Linked DNA regions of Caenorhabditis elegans. The protein of the gene in region 2 purifies or fractionates together with the protein of the main gene of each other region. This does not show direct contact. Each region holds a gene or a part of one and is shown on either strand. Other genes may lie near its edges. The genes, in order: lbp-1, F20D6.11, acox-3 and Y69E1A.5.

Region 1 (5,249 bases), on a different chromosome or scaffold from region 2:
TTCTTACCTCAACATGTTCATTTTTTAATCTGTAGAAAATTAAAAACTAATAATTGGGATAATACATTCCACCAAGATTCCAAATTGAAAACATCAGAAGATTGCTTGAAAATAAATTTATTTTTTTCGGAAATGAAATTGAATTGCAAATTTAAGAAAATTTCAATAGAATAAGTTTAAACTTTTATGGGAGTCTCTTGTAGAATCTGCGGCCTTCGATATTGTTGAAGCTCATCTTCTGTAATTAACAAAAATGTATGTCAAATAGATTGACCAAATTTTACCTGAATAAGAAAATCTCCATCAAAGTAATACTCATAGGTTTCTTCCTTGGATTCTCCCTCTTCAAGTGGCTTGTGATGTTCGAACAAGTGTCCGTCCTTGAGAGTGAAGGTAACCTGAAAATTATAATTGAAATAAAAATAAAATAAAAAGTACATGGCATGGAACTCACCTCGTGCTTGGTGTTATCAAGACCCTCTCCTTCGAACTTGCTTCCGATCTGGACGTTTTTGTAGAACACATCTTTTTTCGATGTCAAGTTGGAGTAGTCGAAGAGGTTTTTGTTAGCATTCTTGGCAAAAACCTTCTTGAATGTCGCAAAGGTTACAAGCTTTCGAGTGAACCATCCGTATCCTTTGGCAGTGAGGTACTCATCAAAATTTTCAGAGTGATCCAAGTCGAAGGTTCCATAGAACTTTTCTGGAAGCTGTTCGGCAGCCACAAGGGTAGCTCCACAAAATGCGAGTAAGATGAGGAATTTCGAAGACATTTTTGTTCAAGTCAATGACTGAATGACTGAAGTGTCCACAGAAATGAAGATTGATCAAGACTCCGCCCAGTTGCTCAATCGACAACACAATAAAACTGAGGTCAGCCACGTGTGTAATATAGGGTCACGGCACGGATGGCAACAACAAATTGATGATCGGACTTACTTGATTTTCAAAAATCCTCACAACACCTGGAAGCTAATAATAAACAAAATTTAAGAGACCGAACGAAAACAATTCATCGATTACTTGTTGAAATGCAGAATGAATTTTGTCGAAATAAATTTAAACGCGTTAAGAAAATTGAAAAGAAAACTGCTACGTTTTTTGACTGCACATCAAACAATTTAAGACTTAAAAAAATATTTTTAATGAGGTCCTCAAGATCCAATGATTTTAGTTATTAAACTATGTATTTTGAGAAATGGTTCTTATTTAATGGTACCTTATTCAGAAATTAAATGTGAAAATCAGGAAAAAAAAAATAAAAAAGAGCATACGAAAGAGTAGAAAAAACTCCATTTTATAGAAAACTTTCGAACACAACATCGAAAAAAAAAAACCGAAAAGTGATTGGATTTTGACCCACCCGAAATTTTAAACTGGTTGTGTCCTTTTTGTGTTTTGAATTACGTTTTTGCAAATATCACGGCGCAATCGAACTTTCATGTTTTGATTCCAGCATAGGTTCAATTCATCTGATAATTTGATTCTTAATTTCAAGTCTTCAATGTGCAAAATTTTCTTTTTAACACTTGTGTCACTTTTACACGTTAACAAAAATTCAAATTTTAATCAACTTTGCTTTCTAGAACTCCTAATATGTACATTTTTAAACCAGTGAAAACATTTCCCAAACAAAAAACTTCAGAGGGCTATGCAGCATGAATCACAAAAGAACCGCGTTATTTTTCTTATTTTTTGCCCCATATCACATTACAGAATCGATCTAACTTTTCAGTTTATTTGAAACTTGAAATACATCAGTGGCAAAAAAAGTACATTGAGAAATCAATTCATACAAAAATTACAATAGTTTCTGAATATTTATGGGAGTCGTTTGTAGAATCGGCGTCCCTCAACTCCATTGAAACTCATGCGCTGAAAATTACAATCATGAGAATGTGAAATTGGTTTTTAAAAAATGTTTATAACTTACCACAAGAAGGAATTCCTTATCGAAAAGGTACTCGTAGGTCTCTTCCTTGGCGTCTCCTCCCTCGAGTGGCTTGTGATGCTCAAACAAATGTCCGTCCTTGAGGGTGAAAGTGATCTGAAAATTAATTAATTAATCAATTTGAAAGGTTACTTGAAAACTTGCAAAAGCGTACCTCGTGTTTGGTGCTGTCAAGTCCTTCTCCCTGGAAGGCTTTTCCAAGTTGGACATTCTTGTAATGGACGTCTTTCTTTGATGTCAAGTTGGAGTAGTCAAAGAGGTTCTTGTTGGAAGTCTTAGTGAACACCTTTTTGAATGTGGCAAAAGTGACAAGTTTACGAGTGAACCATCCGTATCCTTTAGCAGTGAGATACTCATCAAAATTTTCGGAATGGTCCAAGTCAAAAGTTCCATAGAACTTATCAGGGAGAACAGCAGCTGAAGCAGCTCCAACAAGAACCAGGAGAAGAGCGATTTTAGCGCACATGGTTGGCTAGGTCGATGAATGAACGACTGACGTCTTGGCAGGACTGTGGGCTGTGTGTCGACGTCGTCTGCGTGGACCCCGCCTACTTGCACAGTCGTAAACAACATTGTACGGCAAGAAGTGCAGCCCACATGTCGATTGCGCTGACGATTAGCAGAGATGGACGGCTGGACTCGGATGGGTATCGAAAGAGAGTGTAGCATAAATGATTCGGGGCAGATTTTTTTTGTTCCGTGTGTTGGGGTCAGTTCGGATATTTTTGAAGAGAGTAGTTGCATGAATCGGGTCCTGGAAGACCGAACAATCAACTCAAAATAATTTCGTTGAAGGTTTAAGGCGAATCGAATTGCAATTTCCTTATTTGGTTGATATAATTTTATGTTATCATTATCTTTCATAGTCTATAGTATGATTCTCCATTTCTTCAGCAAACATTGAATACGGCAACAGGTCTTCAGGTCTGCAGTTCAAAACACAATCCATGCAGGGCTGGGACTTTGGAAAACCAAAAAAAACTACCGGAAAAAATTATGAAAATTTTTATTCATATAGAATTCGACCCACAGAAAAAGAAAACGACTTCAGAAAAAAAGTTTTTTTGCCGCAGAATTTCGGTACATTCGGTTTTGGGTTTTTTTGGTTTCAAAATGAAAACGAAAAAATATTGTAAGGATCCCATAAAACACAATTTTTCAAAAATATTTTTAAACTTTCAACACTAGCTAAAATTTTTAAGACACAAAATTGTTTTTTTTTCTGGTTTTCAAATGTTTGAGCCCTATTCCCAGATGACAGAATTCATATTAGAGATCATTGTTTTCCAGATGGCCTTTCCCGTAAATTGGCCAATACGATTCTCACGTTTTATTGGGCTACAATAGACCCATCTACTTTGTACCTTGGCTAATCTGTTCTATGTCCACTTTCGATGTTTGACCTCCATCTGTTCATTCGTTTTTTTTTGTGAGATCATGCAATTTTTGAAAATGGCAGAGCAAGTCTAAAGGGACAATTGTTTATTTAAAAGGACAGAAAAAATAAACATCTGTGATTAATAATGTGAAGAGCTCAGTTTTATGTTGTGTTTATAATTTCTACTTCTTTCCGGTCGATCGCTTGAACCAACGACGGCACGTGATTCCATTGTTGACCATTTTCTAAAAATGAGAAAATTAGTGGAAGAAGTTGTAAAATGGAAAAAAGGAAAAGAGAACGAAGTACACACCATGACAAGTTGATCGTTCTCGATAGTGTAGTAGTACGTCTCCGCGCTGTGTTCTGGGTCGTTGAGTCGGATATGGTGCTCAGACAAAACTCCGTCTTTGAAGGAGAAGGTAATCTTAAATATAACAATATTTTTAAGACACTTGAATATTTTTTGAAACCTTGTGTGCAACTCCATCAAGGCCTTCTGCCTCGAAAGTTTTCCCGAGCTCCCACCCGTGGTAGAGTGTATTCTTCTTTGAAGTCAAGTTTTCCATGTTGTATTTTCCAGGAGTTTCATTTTTGGCCAGCACCTTGCTCACTTTTGCCAATTTGATCATTTGTCTCACAAACCAGCTCACTCCTGTAATTAAAATTACTATTAAATGTACACTATCAATTATTTTTACCTTTAGCAGCCAGGAACTCGTCAAAGTTCTCACTTCTGTCGAGATCATACTTTCCAAAAAACTTCTCTGGAATTTCAGAAGCCGCCTCAGCCATAATTGCTAAAAAGCAAAAGGAGAATAAAGTTAAGTACAGATTCATGACGAGTAAATGTATGAAGAATCGATTGGTCGCAAGAGCAGATGGACAATGATTTTATCTTGGGGGTTAGATCTATCTATATTCTTCTTCTTCACTTGATTTATTACATAGGCCCAATGGCTCGGTATCATTGAGATCCGAAATTGTGAGCATCTGCCTCATAGCCCTATGCTTTGAGTGTACTCTGGAGCACACAAAATGCACAAAATATATTACATTGGAATTTGGAAAGATTGGAAAAAAGTTAGAAAAAAAACAATTAACACAACTGGAGAATAAGAAAAAACAACTAAAATAAAAGGAAAACACTCTGCTATTACAACTAATATATTCAAATAGAACTGACAAAACGGGATGCGTAAGAAATGATAAGATGAAGTAGTGGTCGGACAGTTGTTATCAGTGTTGTTCTGCACCATCATCACTTGCATAATATGACTCCGCGCAGAACGGTCGGAGAAAACTGATAATACATTTGGTTAGCACACAGAAGTAGCAACTACATACAATTGATTTATGACGGTTAGAGGTTAGAAATAAAAATTGAAAACTGAGGCTGGAGAAAGCTGATCAAACAGAAAACTGTGGAACGGGGGAAACGATAATATGAAGAAAAAAATCCGCATTCCAAAAGCTAAATGTATTTCTAAAAGATTACAAAAACCAAGGGTATTCCTGCAAATTTGTCTTTGAAAAAATGGAAGAATACGGAAATGTGGTGCTGAAACGTATAAATAAAACGAATAGAAAAGGAACGATTAGACACCTGGAAAAACCGAAAGTCGCTGAACAATACAATTTTCGTAAAAGGACCGGTTTAGAACATTTTCAAAAAATTACTAAAATTCGAATTTTTTTCACTGTTTCTTTTGCCCTGTTTTTTATTGGTAAGTCTGCATTTTTAATAATTTTTCCATTGATGATAATTCTCCTTGGAATTCCAATTTGAATGGTTTCCATGAGCGCGACAGTATTACAAAATAGAGTTTTTGTATTCATGATATGTACAAACTCTGTACGTTTATTCTATAACATTGAATTCCAGTTATACTTAGAATGTTTTTTGCAACATCATATTATC
Region 2 (6,793 bases):
TAGTTAGGTCAGACAATGTGACAGGCGTGCGGTTGTGATTCGTTTGAGTGTGAACTTAGTGCAAATGTGCTTTTGCTTTAAATTGAATGTGAAGTAATTTATAAATAGATACTTAGTAGTACTTTCATACTTTACATCGTTTTTTGATCACTTTCAAGTTTATTGCAGCAAAGTCTATCGAACAAACTTTTTGGGTAAAAACGAAACTGCTCAAAGAACATAAGGCTTCAGGAATAAAATATAAGAGTCTCAGGCATATCAAGTTTTATTGTAGGTAAACGTATTTCAGGAATTCAAAAATTGGTGAAAATAAAAACTATGGTCGTTCAGTATTATTTGAAAGTTGTAGTTTTTACAGATCTAATTTTGAAAGAAACTGGTTGAAGAAAACTATTGGATTATGTCAATCGATATCCTTCTTAATTGGAACATTCGAATTTAAGCAAACATTTAGCAATCAACATTCGTTGACTTTTTGGTTTTTTCAACTTATTGATCCTTTCAGAAATGACAACTTGTTATATCCACTTGTCAAGGCTTCTTTTCAAACATTTTTAGAAATGACTCACCTAGTTTGATGTGACACATGTTGCAACAAGTTCGGTTAAAGTTTTTCTGTCGAACAGCTAATTGGGCAGCTTCTGCTACATTTATCGGTTTAGTGGGGTTCACGGAGCCGAGCCGTTCCGTCATTTTGACTCATGCAGTGGACAAGAATCAAAATTAAAAATTCAATTTCGAAGAGTTTCAGAAAGTTTGAAACACGCGTTTTAATTTCCGAAATAATTAGTCACATTTGAGTTATGGTCGAGACGAAGTACGGTATCTGAAATTTCAGAAGATTTTGGAAAATTCAAGGTAACAGGTGTAACAAAAAATAATAATCAAGTTCAAAAAAGTTTTATCATATAATCACATCGATATCGAGCAAAGGGTCTGTGGAGCCAAGTCTCTGGAGGTTTTCTCTAATGCTACGTTGTCTATACTCTCTCACAATCAAACACTCTCTAATATCTCACGGACCCGATGACAAAGAGGAGGACTCGTCGACACATGTGACAAACGGTGGCGGTATATCCAGTGGAGTGAAATGTAGGTGATAGACCAAGAGTGAGAGAGATGAAAAAGAAAGAAGGTGAAGAAGGTACGAGTTGGATGATATCAAGACACAGAACGACAAGTTTATCTCTATTAGCAAGGGTCTCCGGATGAGCAAAGAGTTAGTGATAAACGGAAGAGTGAGTGCCTCTCGTCGCAATCAAAACCAATGTTTTATCACCACCGGGCCAAGAAATGAAGAAGTGAAATGAGAGAATAAGCCGGGTAAGAAGGTTGGTATCCGGGTTGAGTCAAATGCAAGTCAAATGAGTGGATTAAGTTACAAGTCTTATCACAGTTTGCTGTCTGGGATTTGAGACGTGACACTGCTCATGATTTGTGAGTTTTGGCATTTTCACAAATCAAACTAAAGAGTTGTAGTGTAGTTATTTATTGCATGTGAAAATTACACTCGTTTTATGAACTTCCTTGTTGAAAACGTTCATTTTATGGTTACTGAAGATCAGTCTCTACAGAAGAGCATCTCAATTGAGTTTATACATTTTCAGAGTTTTGACTGGTTCTGTGGTTTTTTGTGAAACAATCAGGTGCATTGTTATATTTCTAATATTTCTCAGTTTTTATTAAAGGAAGAGCCAATGGTTTTTTTTTTCAGAAATCGGATTTTTGGGAACAGCGAATACATATAAATCAGTTTTTAGTTCATTCCATAAAAAACACAAAAAAAATTTTTTTTAATCAAACAAATAGTTTATTTATTTACTGCTGAATTCCTACACTCGTCTATAGCAGAAGATGTCCCCAAGTGTGATCGCTGCTGCTGCAAGTTTATTTGGGTAATTGCATTAATGTTTAAATTAAAACTAACTTTTTCAAATCCTTCAGAGTGACTTCGATTCCTTTTTTGAAAATTTCAGCGAACTGGGAGGCAACACTGGATGGACCACCAGCAGCTACAGCTACGACTTTGTCTTTTCTTAAAGTTTTTACTAACATGAAAAATGTATAATTGTTCACTTACTTCAAGAAGTATCGAATGAAAGTTCCAGTTTCAGGATCTCCATTAGTGTATTCCTTTGTGGATCCTTGATTGCATCCTGAGAACTTCAAACCAAACGCAAAGAAAAACAGAGTCCAAAAGTATGGAACAATAGGTCCAGGTTGAGGTTTTCCAACAATAGTGTATCCAAGATGTTGTCCTAAAATATTAAACATCGATAGTTAAATTTGAATATCTTCTGGTTTACCATGTGCTTGAGCAGTTTGGAAGTGTTGAATATTGATACTGTCAATATCCCAAAGTGGGAGAGGAGCTGTGACAACATCACCCATTGCGAAGATGTAGCTGATATTAGTCTGAAGTATTAGAGATTAAAAAAGCATCATAAAATAAACTAAACCCACTCTAAACTTTTCATCAACTTCAATGAATCCTCTATTGTCCAATTTGATACCAGATCCTTCCAAAAACTTAGTGGCTGGGGTAACACCAATTCCACAAACAAGAAGATCTACATCAAGCTCTTTTCCATTCTCTAAAATAACTTTTGAGACTTCTCCTTGATCGTTTCCACGAAGAGCAACCACATTTGCAGCCAGCTCGAACTTTACTCCTTTTTCTTCAAACTTCAGACGGATTCCTTTACCAATATCTGATCCAAAAACTGGAAGAGGCTCCGGAGTATTGGAAATAACTGTAACTGACGCAGCTTTTTCTGCCAGAGCGGATGCCACTTCCATTCCGATAAATGATGAGCCTACACAGACGACGTGCTTCCCAGGATGAAGGTTGGAAATTATGTTGGCTTCTTCTACTTTACGAAGGTAGCAAATATTCTGGAAATTGCACATGTTTATATTTTTCAGATTTTCGTTTTACTCTCACTTTCAAATCTGATCCGGGTACTTGCAACTTTCTAACATTTCCTCCAGTAGCAATAATTAGTTTTGAATAAACAACAGTTTCTCCGTTCGATAAACTGACTTCTCTACTTTTATGATTTACTGCAATCACCGATGTTTTCAAAAGAAATTTGACATTTCTCTCTTCGTAAAACGCATCATCTTTTCTCAAACGAATATCCTCTCCGGTTGCTGCTGGTTTCTGAAAATCATAGGTAATTTAGAAAAAAAGATTTAACATTACCTTAGACAGCAAGACTCTATCATAAGGCGGCAAAGACTCTTCTGAGATTACTAAAATTGGGGTTATAAGACCATTAAGTCGAGAATGCTCAATGAATGTAGCTGTAGCTACACCACCACCGATAATCACAACTGGTCGATCATTACACTGCTTCATTTTTGGAAGATGTCGAATTCGACGATCAGAACCTAGCTTCTTTTCAGTTGTCTTGATAATAAGGTTTCCATCGTTGACAGTAACCTGGAAAAATATAATTGTTTGATTACAAAAAAAGGACAACAAAGTTTAATCAGTCACCTCCAACTTTTCAAAAAAGAATTTGTCCAAAAATGCGAAAACAATAAATTTTTGGGTGCCACTTACCACATAAGAATGAAGACTGTCAAAGCCTGGATAGTCTTCAATATCTCCCGATCGAACATTAAAGCAAGCTCCATGAAGTGGGCACCTAATTCTTCCTTTTGCATATGTTCCATTCTCCAATGAGAAATTGTAATGAGAACACAATCCATTAATAGCGTAAATTCGACCCTCGTCGTTAATCACCAAAACTTTACGATCACGAACTTCGAACATTTTCTTACTGGAAAAAGACAATGTTATTTTTTAAATTTTCTTTTTAAAACTTTAGAGAACTGTTTTTAAAAAGTTGAAATTACTTACGTTCCTGGCGGTACATCTTCGATTCTACCGAGAATTTCCTCCACTGCCGGAGAATCATCATTGTCACATTCCGGCTCAACAGGGGTTAGCCAATTGGCGAGAGCCATTGTTATTATACTGGAATATTAAAGAAATGTACGTGTAAATTCGTTTTTTTTTCAGAAAATCAAGGAAAAGAATGATAAATAAACGTAGTCATCAGTCATCAATTTTTGTTATCAATAAGAGTCTATAGATGAAAGTTTAATTGAAAAAACGTACAGTTTTCAAACTTTGTCCTAGAGGTTTCGGGCAAATTCTTCGTACAAAAAATAACAAAAATATAAAAATGGGGCTACAGAGACCAATTGGAGCACTTTGAGTTGTAGGAACAAGAAAAAGGAAAAGAGAAGCACACGAAAGGCTGGGTCTATTTGCTAGGCGGCAAATGGAAATGCTGACAAATGCCTGACACTGGCATGTATCTAGGATAGTTGACCACAGAGAAAAAGAAACTTTGTGATCGTTACAATTTTTAGTTCACACCTTGTATACTTATTAAACTAGGGTAAAAGAAAGTCAAGGTGAAAGCCAAAAAATGCTTTTAAGTCTTGAAATACCAGAGCTTCAAAGAGAAAAATCAACGAAGATGTGGGAAAACAACAACATATTTCAAAACATCCACGTTATCAGTTTTTGGTAAACAATATTTGTTTGCGTGGAAGGTTTTTGTAAACGAAGCGTTATTTTCTGAATTATTTTTTTTTTCTGATTAATCGTAATGGTTAGAAATGTTTTCGAATTTTTTATTTGAAACTATGTTTCTGTACTTACGGAAAATTTTCCAAAACGTTTAATTTTCAGTATGTCCAATTTATACATCAAAGACTCTAAACTTTAGATTTAAATCTTATTGAAATTAGTAAATTTTGAATGAAAATCTCGACAATAAACCACTAGAAGATCATCAAGGTTAAACGAAGTAAACAAGAAAAACTGGAGAAGAAAAAACGTCGAAACGATCAGTTGAAGGAAACATGATCCTTCATATTGGAACGAAACGCTCAAAAATCAAAATTTGTCGTTTGAAAGTTTAACCTTTAAGTTTGAAAATGATACGTCTTAATTGTTTTTTTTAAAAATCGGTATCACTAGCTTTAAAAAAAAGTGCAAAAACGTTAAAATGGAAAATCCCTTTTCTTGAAAACCGAGAGATGAAGAGAACCGAGACATACAAACAAAACTCTCCGTAGAACGGCCTATGGTGACACTCACAAACAACAACATAATTGGGAGAATTGAGAGAAATAGTGGGAAAATGCGGAAATTTAGGAAAAAGAGGTTCAATGAACATATTTATAGAGACAATTGTTTTTGGACGGGAAAATGTGAACTTATGGGCTATGAAAATTTTTATAAAAGTACGATTACTTCCTTGCCGGAATTTCAATTTCAAATAATCAAAGCTGATAATTTAGTTCAAAATAATATTCCACAATAATCATATAATGTTTAATTTTCAGTAGTTTCATTCGGGATAGTTGTAAAGAACAATTTTGTGAACGATAATTGCAAAAAAATCGTCTTTTATCCAAAAATCTCATGGCAAACAAAATTATATTTCAAGCTTGTTTTCAAGCTTTAGAATCACATTTTTCAAGCTTTAGAATCAAAGAATCAGAAATCATAAGAATTTCATTTTAAGCTTTGATTACCACATAAATCATTTGGTATGGATGAATGATGCTTTTCGTTTTTTGGTTTTGTGACCATATTTTATGAGTCCACCGGAATTTTATAAAAGCTCGGGTCTCTGAAAAAACTGCTATAAGCCAAGCTGAACATTCGCTTGAAACAAGCGTGAAATGAAGTATACTGTCAGTTTGTTCAATTATTAGCACGGCAGTTGGCTATTGTCATTGAAAGTGAATGTTTGAGTGAGTCTCTACGGATTGAAACTTTTTTTTTTGAAGTTTGATGAATGGTTTGTGAAACAATATTTTTGTGTCTCGTTTTTTATTTTATAAAGTCAAATATTCCAAAAGTCCAATAGTGAATCACAAACTTTGGTTTATGTTTTGCAGCATTGTGAAGAAGTTGTTATTAGTCTCGATGCCATGATGAAGCTACAATAGTCTTGGGTTATAATAGGTGAACATTAAATTTGCCTGGGATGCTATAACAGAAATTTATGCAGGCCAAGGAGTTTCCGTGCCTTCGCAAACTTTTTTTTTCTACATATTAATTCAATCAAAACTTATTTCTTATGTACATGCAAATTAAGTATTCAGACTCCAGTTTCCAAAACTATTATTTCCAGAAAAATGTCTGTAAAATAGTGAGTTTGGAATTTCTATCAAAATCTCTTTTCAGTTATCTTTATCATATTTCAAGACGTCATAATAATGATTCATCACTTATTCACCATCTTTCATTTTTTTTTGTCACACTAATGTTATTGTTACACTTCCTGTCTCTCATCGTCTCATATCTCTCGGATCTCTGTACTATATCTACTCTTGACCGATTCAATTCGCTCAACCAATGTCATCTCACGATCAGTCTTGGGTTGAACTATCAACAAAATAACTATTTTCTTTTTTTTTTGTTTGTTTCAAAAACAAAAACTTGAGCCCAAATTTATAGATTCTTGTATTTTTAAAGTTTATGATATGAATTATTTGGCTAGAAAAATGAATTATTTGAGCAAGTTAATGTTATTTTGCCATCAAAAACAATTTTTGTGTAAAAAAATATATTATTACCAAAATTTTCCTGCTTTCTTCATGTTTCATTTTTTTCATTTTCACAATTTTTTTTCACCTCGAATTTATACTAATTCCATTTTCAGATGCAAAATTTATCTTTATCTCTAGTCATTCTATCAGTTCTCATTGCTGTAACTCTTGCTTGCAAGTGTAGAGAGCAATCAACCAAGGAATCATT
Region 3 (7,434 bases), on a different chromosome or scaffold from region 2:
TGCTGACGTTTGTCTGTCGCACCAACTCAAATAGTGAAGTGTCCTGAGCAACGGGACTCAATTCAAAACCAAAAATCGTATATCCGCCTTCTTTAAACATTTGGGTGCTAATAGAATTACATGTGGAATTGCTTCGCGAGTGACCGAGGGTTTCTTGAAGTTGAATGTATGCCTCCATAAACTTGTTTCTGTCAAAATCTAAGGCAAAAGGGCGGCCGGGGAGTGTCATTCCACAATAATCAACATGTATATCAGATATACCATGTGGTTTGAAATTGAATGGTGATTTATCATAAGAGCCATTGTACGCGTCAGAATCAACAAGACCAATGAAAATTCGACGGGGCATCTTGCTTGTGAAGAGTGTGTTAGCCGGCGCGTCAAGACGTCCAGACTCTATATAGAAACTGCGCACCTGTGAAGATATTAGAGGATATTGGATTATTTTGTGCTCAATAATGGAGCTCTCTAGAGCATTAGATAGACCGTCGGCAAGATCGAATTCGTTAACCAGAGCGTAAACGTCGGTTATTTTGAACTGAAACTCTGTGTTGTTGTCGCGATTGTAAACCTCAATCAAAAATTTACTATCATTTGGGTAAACTGTAAGTTTCACATTACAACCGTTCAAGAGCACTCGCGGCTGATTCATCAAGTCAATCGAAATGTTTGCCGCAACTTGTATTTCGTCCTGGTTGTAAATTGAGGCACAACGCTGTTGAAACCCAGGACTACGGTGGTCGCCAATCACAGGGTCATGATAGAAACCGGCCGCGGTTAGAGTGGAGTTTTGAATTTCCTTCCCGTACATTAAAACGTGTTCAAAATAGCTCTTGTACGCATAGTTTGACGAGTTGTGAAAAGCTAATTGTGAATTAATGTGTAGTGTGAAATTTCAGATCGACTAGTTTTCCGGTCACAACTCGGATCCCCGTTTTCAATGCACAACTTTACGATCCACACATTTCAACGTTTTATACACTAATTAATGCCAGAAACTTATTCGCAACATTGGCACACATGAAGCAATAATTAATAGGCACACACGGTTTTCAGTGAAATTCCTCAATTATTCTAAAACGGGGGACCAACCGAGAAATTTGCAAAAATGCGCAACTTTAAGTCTTTTGCACAACTATTCCCACTATACTACTAACTTACTCTAATTGCTTGATGTTTAAGCAATAAAATAACAGAAAAATAACATAGTATGATATATTGCATAAAAGAAGATAGGACCGCCACCAAGCAGTCGAAGAAGGCAGAATGAGTGATTTCTTCTTCAGAAAATGGGCGGGTTTGTGGCTTCTCTGACTCTCTCAAAAGCTCAGAATGTGTGACGTTAGAGCTAGAGATTATTGAAATGTAGGAGGTTTTGAGAGATTAGCAAAAAAGGAAAAAAGGATTAGAAATGTTTTCAAGCTCTTCTTTATGCCAAGATCATGAAACGAAAGACTTGTTTGAGAAGAGGGAAATAAGATTATGAAATTATGAAAAAAGATGGAAAATAAATAGTTTTAATTGTATTTCAATCATGCTTCAATTGGCCAACTCTTGTGTTCAAATTTAAATTAAACAAAAAAATTATTATGCTGTTTCACGAATACTATATGAACAGAGGCATTTTCTCTGTTTTGATATTGAAACTTCAGCTGAAAAAAAGATCTCGTAAAAACAGTCTTGATCATGAATTAAACTAATCTCTTCTTGTTAATGTTAGTAATGATAGAAAAATATTGCCTGAACTTTGTGGTTCCACTTATTTTAACTTATAAAATAGTGAAACGCATCTAGTAATTCGAAGAAAAAGCAAACTCTCTATTGAGGTTTTCAACAAAATCACAAAGTTGGCAATCACATTTTTTTCCAAATTCCACAAAATTGATGAGTAGGTTTTATCGGACACCTAATATAATTGCTCAAGTCAGAGCAAACCTATTATTATTATCAGTAATTTCAAGTTTTGGTAGTTCAGCCAAAATTGATTTCGGGAAAACTATGAAACCGCTAAAAATGTTTACATCAAAGTCTAAACTGCAAAAATGTTGGAAAATATTGTAAAAGTATGAAATATTGAAGTTAAAGTGCTAATAATTTTTAATTTAATTTTAATTTAATTTAATTTTTATTTTGACCAGTACGCTCCTGGAAATGTGTTACCCCCACTTTCGCCAAAACTGTATTTAGAAATTTTTTAGCGTATTTTTATTTAAAAACATGTTTTACACTTATGGAAATAATACTAAATTTTTTATTATCCACTACGTTGTTTTAAACTATTTACTTGTCCACATTCTCTCTCCGAGCCCACTTTAAAACAAGGAAACATGAATTTTCTGTAAAATTTCAGTTAATTTCCTCTGACCCTTTTTACAAACACCAGCTAATTACAATCTACTACGATAATTTTAAAAGACCATTCCTCCCCCTATTTATACAATACCACCACGCTGTAGTCAGACTGTCTTCGATCTCTGCGTCTCTCAATTACTTTCTATTTTCTTTGTTTTTGATAAGACTACACTCTTCCTACCCAGTACATATGCAATTGCTTTTGTCTTAATTTTGTTCAGTTTATTTTAACATATATTCTGCTGAAAATAAAATGAATCTTTTGAATTTAAAGGATTTATTTAGTAAATTTTTCAGTTTCAGATCAAAAATGAGTGCTCCTTTAATTGACAAATACCGGAAAATGGCAACTTTCGACTGGAAAAAATTGAAAGCAGCCGTTGAAGGAGAAGAACATGTTAGACTGAAGGTATAGTAGATTTTGGATTTATAAAATATTTATATATATTTCAGTCAGAAGTAGTTGCTAAAATGAAGTCAGAACCAGTATTTCACAGAGATTATCGAGTATTGAGTAGAGAAGAGCAAAGAGAAGTTGTTCATCAGAGATGGAAGAAAATTGTCGAATGGGGGTTGTTCAAAGATGTATTTCTTATTAAATTGTAGATTTTCAATATATTCGAATATTCAGCCGTACTCCGATCTTGAAAACTTCCATGCATTGACTGAAACTCTTGAAGCTTATGATCAAGGCACATCTGCAAGGCTTTTCCTCCACGGAAATGTTTTTGGAGCAGCTGTTAAGTCAATGGGAACAGATAGACATAAGGATTTGATTCAGAAAACTGAAAACAATGAGGTGAATTTCAAAGAAAATAGCATACAAAATTAAGAAGTACTCAAGAAAAAGAAAAATCAAAACAAATTTGAAAATAATTTATTCTAAAGAAATTTAAACAAAAGCGCATTGTATTCAAATCTGGAAAGTTTAGGTTTCCTTGCAAAATAGCAAATTTCAGATCGTCGGAGCATTTTGTCTGACAGAAGTAGGCCATGGTTCAAACACTGCTGAAATTCAAACAACAGCTACATTTGACAATGGAGAACTTGTTTTCAATACTCCAAGTGTCAGTGCAATCAAATGTTGGGCTGGAAATCTCGGTGGGTTTTAAAACATTTTTAATTTTAAATTTAAAAAAATCCATTTTTTTAGCTCACTCGGCCACTCACGTAGTTGTTTATGCTCAACTTCATGTCGAAGGAAAGAACGAGGGATTTCATGGATTTGTGATTCAAGTTCGTTGCCCTAGAACTTTCCAAACTCTACCAGGAATTACCATTGGAGACATGGGCTCGAAACCAGGATGCTGGCAGGGAGTAGAAAATGGCTGGATGGAGTTTAAGAACCATAGAGCTCCTCTGAGTGCACTTTTGAATAAGGGTTGTGATATTACTCCGGATGGAAAATATGTGACAAGTTTCAAATCTGCAAGTGAGAAGCAGAGTGTCAGTTTGGGAACATTGTCAGTTGGAAGGTATGTTTTCAATACTTTACGACGCCGGCCGTATAGAAAAATTTTTTAATTGAGTGAAATTTGTATCTAAAAGAATTTCTGTTAAAAAAATCAGGTTCTGAAGAATTTCTAGCCGCTGTTTTACCAACTTTTTAAATGTGTTGTTTTTTTCTCAGTTTTAGTAGATACAAGATGCAAATTTCACGGCCGAGCCTTATTATCAATAAAAGCAAAATCTCAAAACGAATCTATTCCAGCTTTAATCGATACTTTTAAAATATGAATTGATTTTCTAGAGTGAAGCCATTGTATTTAATACAAATAGAAATAATGGAAATGGCATTCTTAGGACAATTCGAAATTGTAAAAGCAGACGAATTCATAAAGTTGGGAAAACAGTGCAATCTATAAGTTTTTCCGATTGATTTTTTTCAAACAAAATACTGTTTCAAAATTCAAACTTTACCAACAATGGTTTCACAATAACACAAATTTCAGACTCGGAATTATCGCAAAAGGAATGATGGCTTGCACTTTTGCATCTACAATTGCTATTCGATACAGTGTTGCTCGGCGACAGTTTGGACCAGTAAAAGGCGGTGAGCACCATTCCTTTTCTCAATTTCTCAACTTTTGTATAATTCAGCTGAAAATGAGATCCCAGTTCTCGAGTATCCACTTCAACAGTATCGTCTATTCCCGTACCTATCCGCTGCAATTTGCATTAGAATATTCCAGAAGAAGTGGGAACTCTAAACAAATTGTTTTCAATAATTAGTTAAACTTTATAGGTTTGTCGGACATTTCACTGAATATATGATGAGAGTCATAATGGGAGAAAAGTCAGACGAGCTCTCCGAGTTCTCAAAAGAAGTACATGCATTGTCGTCTGGAGCTAAACCGGTTGCAACGTGGCTTGGTGTAGAATCCCTTGGAGAAGCTAGAAAAGCTTGTGGAGGTCATGGGTATGTTTCCTAACATAACCTGAAACTTAACTTTAAGAAACTCATTTTTTGAGAATTCGTCTTTCTATTTTTTCCAGATTAAAGTTAAAATTTAAATTACAGATACCTACAAATGTCACGATTGAACACCCTCCGAGATGACAACGATCCATCACAAACATTTGAAGGAGAAAACTTTATGATTTTGCAACAAACCAGCAATATTTTGCTAGGAAAAGTAAACTTAATTGTCAGATTCTTTAATCATATTGAGATTCTGATGTTCAGGCTCAATCAATTGGATCCATTGAGACCCCGATGTCTACTATGTCATTCTTGAATCAAAAACCTTCAAAGTTCTCATCATGGTCTTCGAATCCAGTTAATGACGTGTTGTCTGCGTACCGATATCTCACTTATCACTTACTTCAAACAACTTCGGCAGAAGCTTACAGACTAAAAGCATCTGGAAAGAATTCATTCGAAGTTCGAAATGAAATTCAAATTCATAGAGCTGTCAATTTGTCTGTTGCATACACAGAACATACAATGATCCATTGGGTTCAACAGTTCTTGAAAGAAATTGAAGATCAAAGTGTGAAGCCGGTTCTTCAAAAAGTTTTGAATCTTTTCTCACTTTTCCTTTTGGAAAGACATCTTGCAACTCTTTATATTACTGGATATGCTTCTGGTGGAAAGTTTGGAGAAGATCTTCGAGAGAAGCTTAGACTCGCTGTAGCCGAATTAAAACCCGAGGCCATTGCTTTAGTGGACTCGATTGCTCCAGATGATTTCATTTTACATTCAGCTCTGGGAGCATCTGATGGAAAGTCAGTTTTAAAATGTAAAGGTTTCTGCTGAACTTTAAATTTGATTTTCAGAGCGTACGAGCATATAATGGAAGAATTCCGGAAGTATACAAATGAACAACCAAGATGGGTTTGCGATTTGGCTCAGTTTTTGCAAAAGAGATCACAAGGATCCAAGCTATAATATTTCACAAACTGTATATTTCCCAATAAATCCAGTTTTTGAATAAATTCAAAATATACAAACAATTTCAAATTTCTTTGAAAGCTAAAATTTTTGCAAAAAATAAAAATCTAAACGTATAAGCAAAGTTTTCAGATTTATACATATCGTCGACGTGAAACGGCAAAATTTTTTAAATGTTTAATTGAAAAAATTTATTAAAACTTTGGTACCCGGATGTCAGGAAATGCTTAAAAGGCTTCTAACACTGGAAAATAGTTTCTCATTTAGAACCAAAACGATAATGTTGCGTTAGTTTAAATGAATTTATATGATTAATGTGAAACGGGGAAAATTTAAAATAGTGATAGCGCCCACGGGGAAAATGTTTAAAACTATTTATTAAGTGCCAAAAATCATTGTAGAACTTTCACAATGTATTTATAAAATAATATTTATATGAAATAACACCAAAATTTAATTTATTTCCACGCCAATTTCTAATTTTACTTTAAAAACTGTTCTCACAATATTATTGTATCAATGTTGTCGCGAAGTCGATGAATACAAAGATTAACTCGCTCACGACTTTTATTTTTAATTTCTATTCTCCACGTGATAAAGAATCCATTTCACATATCTGGAGAATTTATAAATTTATCAACTCTCATTAATTTGCTAATTGGCTTGAAAGGGTTGTGCATCAAAAAGGTCTTCCGTTTGAAATTCTTCGCACGATGACAAATAATTTCAAAAATACAATTTTCAAAACTTAAAGTTTTTCAGAACTCGTCCGTCTGATTCTCCAATGTCAACTTTGTATTGCGTGCGAATAACTTCAGGAAACTCTACAAAGGCTCAGAAAGGCTGTAAAAGCTCGAACACAACTGAAGCTCCGTATACCAATGTTGCGTGATTTCAAAAAAGTGTTATACCATCAATGGGAAACGGTAAAAAGTTTTTTTTAATTTGTAGGTGCAAAATGCTTTGAAAATTTTTTGTTTCGAGATTTTAAAAATAGAATAACACAAATTTTTATCAAATTTCAAACAATAATCATTTGATACCATCCGTTAATATAATCTCCATTGTAATCATATTTCCAGTATAAAGAACCCATTTCACATGTGAAACTGATTGAAAGTTTTTCTAACCCTGATTCAATTGATGTCATTGCTCTACACGGACAAGTTGTTGTAGATTCAGTATTATTTCCTGTACAATTACAACCAGCACTTTCTGATAAACATCTTCGCGTTCTAATCCACATTGTATCGCCATCATTTCTTCCGTAACTGGAAAAAGAGCTCCAAATTCCTCCAATTGGACAACAATTATATGTTGAGTTAGAAACAGATGCAGCAGTTTCAGCGGCTGTTGTTAGTGGTCCACATTGAGTTGTTCCGTTCAGAACCATTGAGACATATGGAATACAACAAGTACGTTGAGCTGGATATGAACATGGTTATGTGTTGCACGGATAGTAGCGAGTTGCATTTCCACTGAAAAGAAATATTCTGATGTACATAAATAATGGTAGGAAAGTTTTTTCATCCTTGATTTTTTGCATTTTCTACAAGAATTTTTGGAGTGGAATTTTTTTTGAAATTTCACAAGTTATAGAAAACTACTCAAATGAAGTGTTTTGCAAGGTATTTTTTTCAGGTTTGGTTACACATCGATGCTCAATAATTGGGGAGAAATTGTGTTCC
Region 4 (5,068 bases), on a different chromosome or scaffold from region 2:
GCAATGAGCAAAAAAAAATCTTTAATTTTTGGCAGTTTACCAAAGGTTGTCGGATAGTTTTGAAAAAATTTAATAAATTGTAGAGTGTTTTTTACGAGATATGTAATGATTTCTGACTCAGTCTAGTCCCATGTGCTACCCCATTCCAAATTTGTGATATGTGCCAGCTTGAAACACACCCTAAATAGATGGGCCGTCCAAAATTACATTTCCATTGAAAAAATAAATTTCACGGTGGAAGTTTATTATTTGAAAGGGTAATTGTTGTCTTACGTCATTTGTTCTATTTAGAATTTAGAAAAAAGAATTTCCATGAAAAAAACATCAAAAGATTTGAAGAAAAAGTAATCATTTCTACATTTTCTCAATTTGCAATCGGTCTTCATAATTTCAATGGAGAAGATCAATACTGAAGATCAAAAAAATGTTCGAAATTTTGTCAATAAAATATTGGAGAAGATTGTATTCAAATGGACTCACAAAACTTCGATGGATCTGTTCTGTGCTGCCGAGCTTGCAGAGCTCTGCCACAGAGCCCGTGAGCTCATTTGGTCTGAGCCAATATTCTTGAAGCTGGAGGCGCCGATTTGTGTTATGGGGGATATTCATGGACAGTTTGATGATTTACTCGCAATGCTCGATATGAATGGGTGGCCCTTGTCTTCACAAGAATTTGAGGCTCTCAAGGTGAGACACTTTTTACAATTGAATATGCATTAAATAAATCTAGTTTCCAGTATTAAAATAATATTTATTTAGGATACAACAGTAAGAAGTCGTGAAACAGGAAAAAGACCTCAGAGTGAACCACATTCGACACAGCCAGAATCAAGTAACGATGTAAAACCACCAGTTGCTGCTCCGAAAAGTGTGAACAAAGAGGTAACAACTGGATACAAGAGATACCTATTCCTTGGAGATTATGTCGATCGTGGACCATTTTCAATGGAAGTTGTCATTCTACTCACTGCTCTCAAACTTGCATATCCCGATCGTATTTATTTACTGAGAGGGAATCATGAATCAAGATCAGTTAACACTTCGTATGGATTCTATCGAGAGGTCAATTATCGGTTCGTTTTAAAATTATGACATCTTTGAGAATACATTAACATTTTTCAGTTATGATGCTCAATTGTACGAATGCTTCCAGAACATGTTCAACGTTTTCCCATTCTGTGCTGTGATTAACAATACGATTATGTGTATGCATGGAGGAATCAGTGAGCATCTGACAAGTTTCAATCAGTTTTCGGTTTTCAAAAGACCACTCGAGATTCCTGATGTTGGTGTTCTAACTGATTTGACATGGGCTGATCCTGATCCGGTATGCGTTCATTCAGAATTTTAAAATAATAAATATCTTTTCAGACTGAAAAAGGCTATAAACCATCCGCACGTGGTGCATCTTTTGTCTTCGGACCACCAGCTCTCCGTGCATTTCTGAAAAAACTGGATCTTCAAATGGTTATCCGTGGTCATCAAGTTGTTGAAGATGGCTATGAATTCTTCGATGGTCGACGTCTGGTCACAATTTTTTCGGCTCCAAACTACTGTGGACAGAATGACAACACAGCGGCTGTTTTTAGTATTGATAAGAAACTGAAGATTTCGATCAATGTCTTCAGGCCGGAGAGCAGAGACAAGAAACGTGGATTTGAAAAGGAGAGAAAGGCCAAGAAATGATCCTGAACTCGTTTAGACTTTTTATTCGTAGAAATAAAGAAATTGAAATTACTACAACGTATACATATCATGAAAACAATAGATTCATCAAACTTCGAATGAGTTCGATCTTTAGCTTTGCTCAAGTAACTTTTTCTTTACATTCTGTTACATTTTAACCACCTGGACTTATTCCTGTCATAATTGTTCCGAAGAAGTTATTAGCCAACTTTCGATATTATATTATTATTATATTATTTCCCTCGATTGAGCATGGAGTGAATTTTCAATAACCACAAAAATTAAATTTTATTACATAGAAATAATTTCAAATTAGAAAATGGCTATTTCGTTGTTATCCAATTATAATTACACATTAAATTACAATATTTATCCCTCGTGTTGAGCAAGGAAGAAATTTCCGGCAATTGGGTCTCCCAACTTGTTCTTCTCGATGAATTGTTTAACGTTGAACTTGGCACGAGAGCTAGGCTTCGGCACAGAGATGCGTCTTCCAGCGTGCTCCCACATAAGAATCACATAACGATGAAGATCAGTTCTTGGTCCTGGAGCTGGGCTTCCATATGCCATTTGATGTTGACCTGGAAAACATACATTTCGTGATCGTAGGTATAAGTGTGTCCTATTATTATCACCATCAACAATTTGAGAACAGAAGCCAGGTGAATTATAAGTATTCTCGCGTTTTATTATAGTTATTACCTCCGTTAATTCCATCAATAATATTGCTGGCTGGAATATTGCAGACAAGCCAGTGAAGCCACTCGGCAACAGATGGATTCTTTCTTGACAAGTTATCTGGATCAATCATAAGAACTGTGTAGATTGATTCTGGGTCAGCTCCTGGAAGAGCCCATCTCGGAGCATTTTTAAGGTTGCGAACTTGCATAGTCATTCCTGGCTCAACTTGGATTCCGTCCCAGCACAACTGAATTTTCAATGTTGTAGCAATTAACTTTTAAAAAAAACTTACATGAAGCTTCTGCTTTGGGGCATTTTCAATAATCTTTGGAGTAATCTCGTGTTGAGCAAAAGCGGCAGAAATGTCGGACATTTTTTATGTGTTCTGGAAGACGATTTTCAAAATGAGGTTATCAAATGAGAAGACTGAAGAAAACAAGAAAATAACGAAAAATAACAGGTGTTTCAAGGCGGTTTATGAGCAGACAACAACATGGAACAGAGAGAAAAGAAGATAAAGAAACTGGAGATGTGACGTGGGAACTAAGAGAAAGAGCATTGAGCACAATGTAATGGGGGAGGAAGGGGTGATGGATGGTAAGCGATGGAAATAAGAGCAAGATGTACAATGCAAGCTGGTGAATCAGAGGTGAAAAGTAATGGAACATACAAAAAGAGAAATACAACAACAAAAGGAAAAAACCCAAAACAATAAACGATTGGTTCCATTTGAAAAAAAATAGGTTGGAAGACAGTACTCAAACCTTTCTGCTAACCGAATGCCTACCTACCATTATGTTTACCTTCTACCCATACAAGTTGTTAACAGAGAGCAATGAGCGCAGGACCAATAGGGAAGAAATTAAAACATTAGGTTCCATGAAAAACGAAGCATTTTATTGGAAAACCCCATTCACCTCGGTAAAACTGAACTATTGAATGCTTAGCCCAGAAACTAAAAAAATAATTACGACGTCGGTTCATCTGGCAGTTATGAGAGTCATTCTACTGACTGTGATGTACTACTTATTACAGCAAAAAGGCGGGAAGAACTCAGATTACACTTTCATATCTTTCTTGTTCTTCATCTTTAACCCATACGAAAAGCACAACAACAGTTGACCGCCCCCATCTGACTCTAAATCTCTTCATTTGAACGATCTTTCCACCGGATGCCTACTCATCAGAGATTGAATGTGGTTTTCGAATGTTCTGATAAAATATGAAAATGAGAAAGTTTTGAACTGCTAAATTTCACGACTGTACTGAATTAGGTAAAAAAAATTACTAAATTTTTTTTCTATTGGACTTTGTAATTTTAAGTAGAATCTTCAATAGTAAAATGAAATACAGAGTTGCCATTCAACCAGCATACACCTTTAGCTAAAGATACTATTTTGTGAATTTTTTCATTTTTTGAGCTAAATTGTCAACCAAATAATTACTGATAAATTGAAAATTTCGACAATCTATACAGTTCAGAAGTTCAGACACATATACTCCTGAATATATTTATGAAAGTACAGTACTCTCTTCCTAAAACAATTGATTCGAAACGTTGTTTAACCACTTGACACCTTTCTATTTCAGCTTTCCAGAAGATATGCCAAGACTACGACAGGTGAATTTGGACGGATAACTAGCTTATTTTAATCAGTTACGCCCTTATAGTCATTTCTTTCTGACTCTTTTGCTCAAATCACACTCCTAATTTGTTTCAAATTCTCTAACTTCTTTCTTCTAATTTCTTTTCCATTTTTGATTAATCAATCATTCAAATCTCTTGAGCTGATTTTCAAAAGTCAAATGTATACATATTCTGAAGTGACCATTGATGTTACTAAACCAACTTTCCTATTAACTTTCTATTCAATTCATGGTACATTTGCATTGGTTTTCAACATTTTGGGAATATTTCTAATCATGAAAAATCCCAAGATAGTTAAAATGTATAAAGGATTTATGATTAATATGCAGGTAAATTAATTTTCAGTGTTAAAAATCACGAAAAAAGTTCACATGCAGTATGGAAGAAACCGTTAGTTTATTGGTTTGAGTGCAGCTGAAACAAATTTTGCAGTGGAAGTCAATTTGAAATTTGTAGAACCTTTCTATTAAAGTTCATAACATTAAATTTCCGCTTGCAAAATTTCCGCTAGTTTTCACCAAACTATTATAGAATAATGCATGAAGTGCAAAAAGAAGCAAAGTTATGAATTTTCTATAAACAGCATTTGAAAAATTCGATTACCAGTGGAATCAAACTTATTTTTTTTATTCAAAAAGAATCAGAAAAATAATTATGAAAAAAGGTCAATAAACTGGAACATCAGTCACAAATATAGTGCATTGAGTGAGTAACAAAAGTCGTTTTGCAGATTTCACCTGTTGAAGTCTCAGAAATTAAAATAAAGATCCAATTTTAAGATTCTGTCTCTATTGGCTGACGCTCAGACAACACTGCTAATGCAGCCAGTCTACATACTTCCAATAATTGGTGGATATACAAATGGACTTTTGTGGCAGGTGTTCAGACTATCTTCACATATTCAAATGGCAATGTTTCTCTTGTTATTGTATCTTCAAGTTGCTTCAATTGTCTGTGCAATTGTTACCAAATATCATGTTGTTTCAAATATTGGAAAGGTAACGTTTAGAAGTTGCAAACAATCACTTTCAACCAGACTTTTAAAAACACACG

What was found.
Region 1: the proteins of F20D6.11 (region 2) and lbp-1 fractionate together in Caenorhabditis elegans (co-fractionation; one large-scale study listed by BioGRID). This does not show direct contact.
Region 3: the proteins of F20D6.11 (region 2) and acox-3 fractionate together in Caenorhabditis elegans (co-fractionation; one large-scale study listed by BioGRID). This does not show direct contact.
Region 4: the proteins of F20D6.11 (region 2) and Y69E1A.5 fractionate together in Caenorhabditis elegans (co-fractionation; one large-scale study listed by BioGRID). This does not show direct contact.

What each region holds. Positions count from the first base shown.
Region 1 is NC_003284.9:3,256,325-3,261,573, reverse strand, and holds lbp-1 (Fatty acid-binding protein homolog 1), read right to left. Parts: upstream 2,433-5,249; 5' UTR 2,417-2,432; coding exon 2,105-2,416; intron 2,047-2,104; coding exon 1,933-2,046; intron 1,875-1,932; coding exon 1,821-1,874; 3' UTR 1,762-1,820; downstream 1-1,761. Other genes in the region: lbp-2 (Fatty acid-binding protein homolog 2), read right to left, coding at 185-238, 285-398, 455-772; lbp-3 (Fatty acid-binding protein homolog 3), read right to left, coding at 3,511-3,573, 3,642-3,755, 3,802-3,983, 4,030-4,168. UniProt on the Caenorhabditis elegans protein: May play a role in sequestering potentially toxic fatty acids and their peroxidation products, or it may be involved in the maintenance of the impermeable lipid layer of the eggshell.
Region 2 is NC_003283.11:8,195,110-8,201,902, forward strand, and holds F20D6.11 (Rieske domain-containing protein), read right to left. Parts: upstream 3,986-6,793; 5' UTR 3,976-3,985; coding exon 3,869-3,975; intron 3,789-3,868; coding exon 3,569-3,788; intron 3,446-3,568; coding exon 3,206-3,445; intron 3,164-3,205; coding exon 2,945-3,163; intron 2,896-2,944; coding exon 2,464-2,895; intron 2,416-2,463; coding exon 2,307-2,415; intron 2,259-2,306; coding exon 2,081-2,258; intron 2,036-2,080; coding exon 1,928-2,035; intron 1,880-1,927; coding exon 1,843-1,879; 3' UTR 1,665-1,842; downstream 1-1,664. Other genes in the region: F20D6.10 (uncharacterized protein), read right to left, coding at 570-693; cri-2 (Putative metalloproteinase inhibitor tag-225), read left to right, coding at 6,699-6,793.
Region 3 is NC_003282.8:6,243,708-6,251,141, reverse strand, and holds acox-3 (Acyl-coenzyme A oxidase acox-3), read left to right. Parts: upstream 1-2,649; 5' UTR 2,650-2,662; coding exon 2,663-2,761; intron 2,762-2,805; coding exon 2,806-2,937; intron 2,938-2,983; coding exon 2,984-3,151; intron 3,152-3,311; coding exon 3,312-3,453; intron 3,454-3,505; coding exon 3,506-3,827; intron 3,828-3,988; exon of another isoform or gene 3,989-4,009; intron 4,010-4,138; exon of another isoform or gene 4,139-4,160; intron 4,161-4,304; coding exon 4,305-4,405; intron 4,406-4,452; coding exon 4,453-4,549; intron 4,550-4,597; coding exon 4,598-4,771; intron 4,772-4,873; coding exon 4,874-4,988; intron 4,989-5,038; coding exon 5,039-5,580; intron 5,581-5,631; coding exon 5,632-5,743; 3' UTR 5,744-5,784; downstream 5,785-7,434. UniProt on the Caenorhabditis elegans protein: Involved in the first step of peroxisomal beta-oxidation by catalyzing the desaturation of fatty acid-derived side chains of ascaroside pheromones, which regulates development and behavior.
Region 4 is NC_003282.8:10,954,904-10,959,971, forward strand, and holds Y69E1A.5 (Phosphatidylethanolamine-binding protein), read right to left. Parts: upstream 2,753-5,068; 5' UTR 2,741-2,752; coding exon 2,660-2,740; intron 2,615-2,659; coding exon 2,389-2,614; intron 2,268-2,388; coding exon 2,056-2,267; 3' UTR 1,960-2,055; downstream 1-1,959. Other genes in the region: Y69E1A.4 (Serine/threonine-protein phosphatase), read left to right, coding at 394-687, 760-1,073, 1,123-1,327, 1,372-1,686; sri-19 (Serpentine Receptor, class H), read left to right, coding at 4,174-4,344, 4,795-5,013.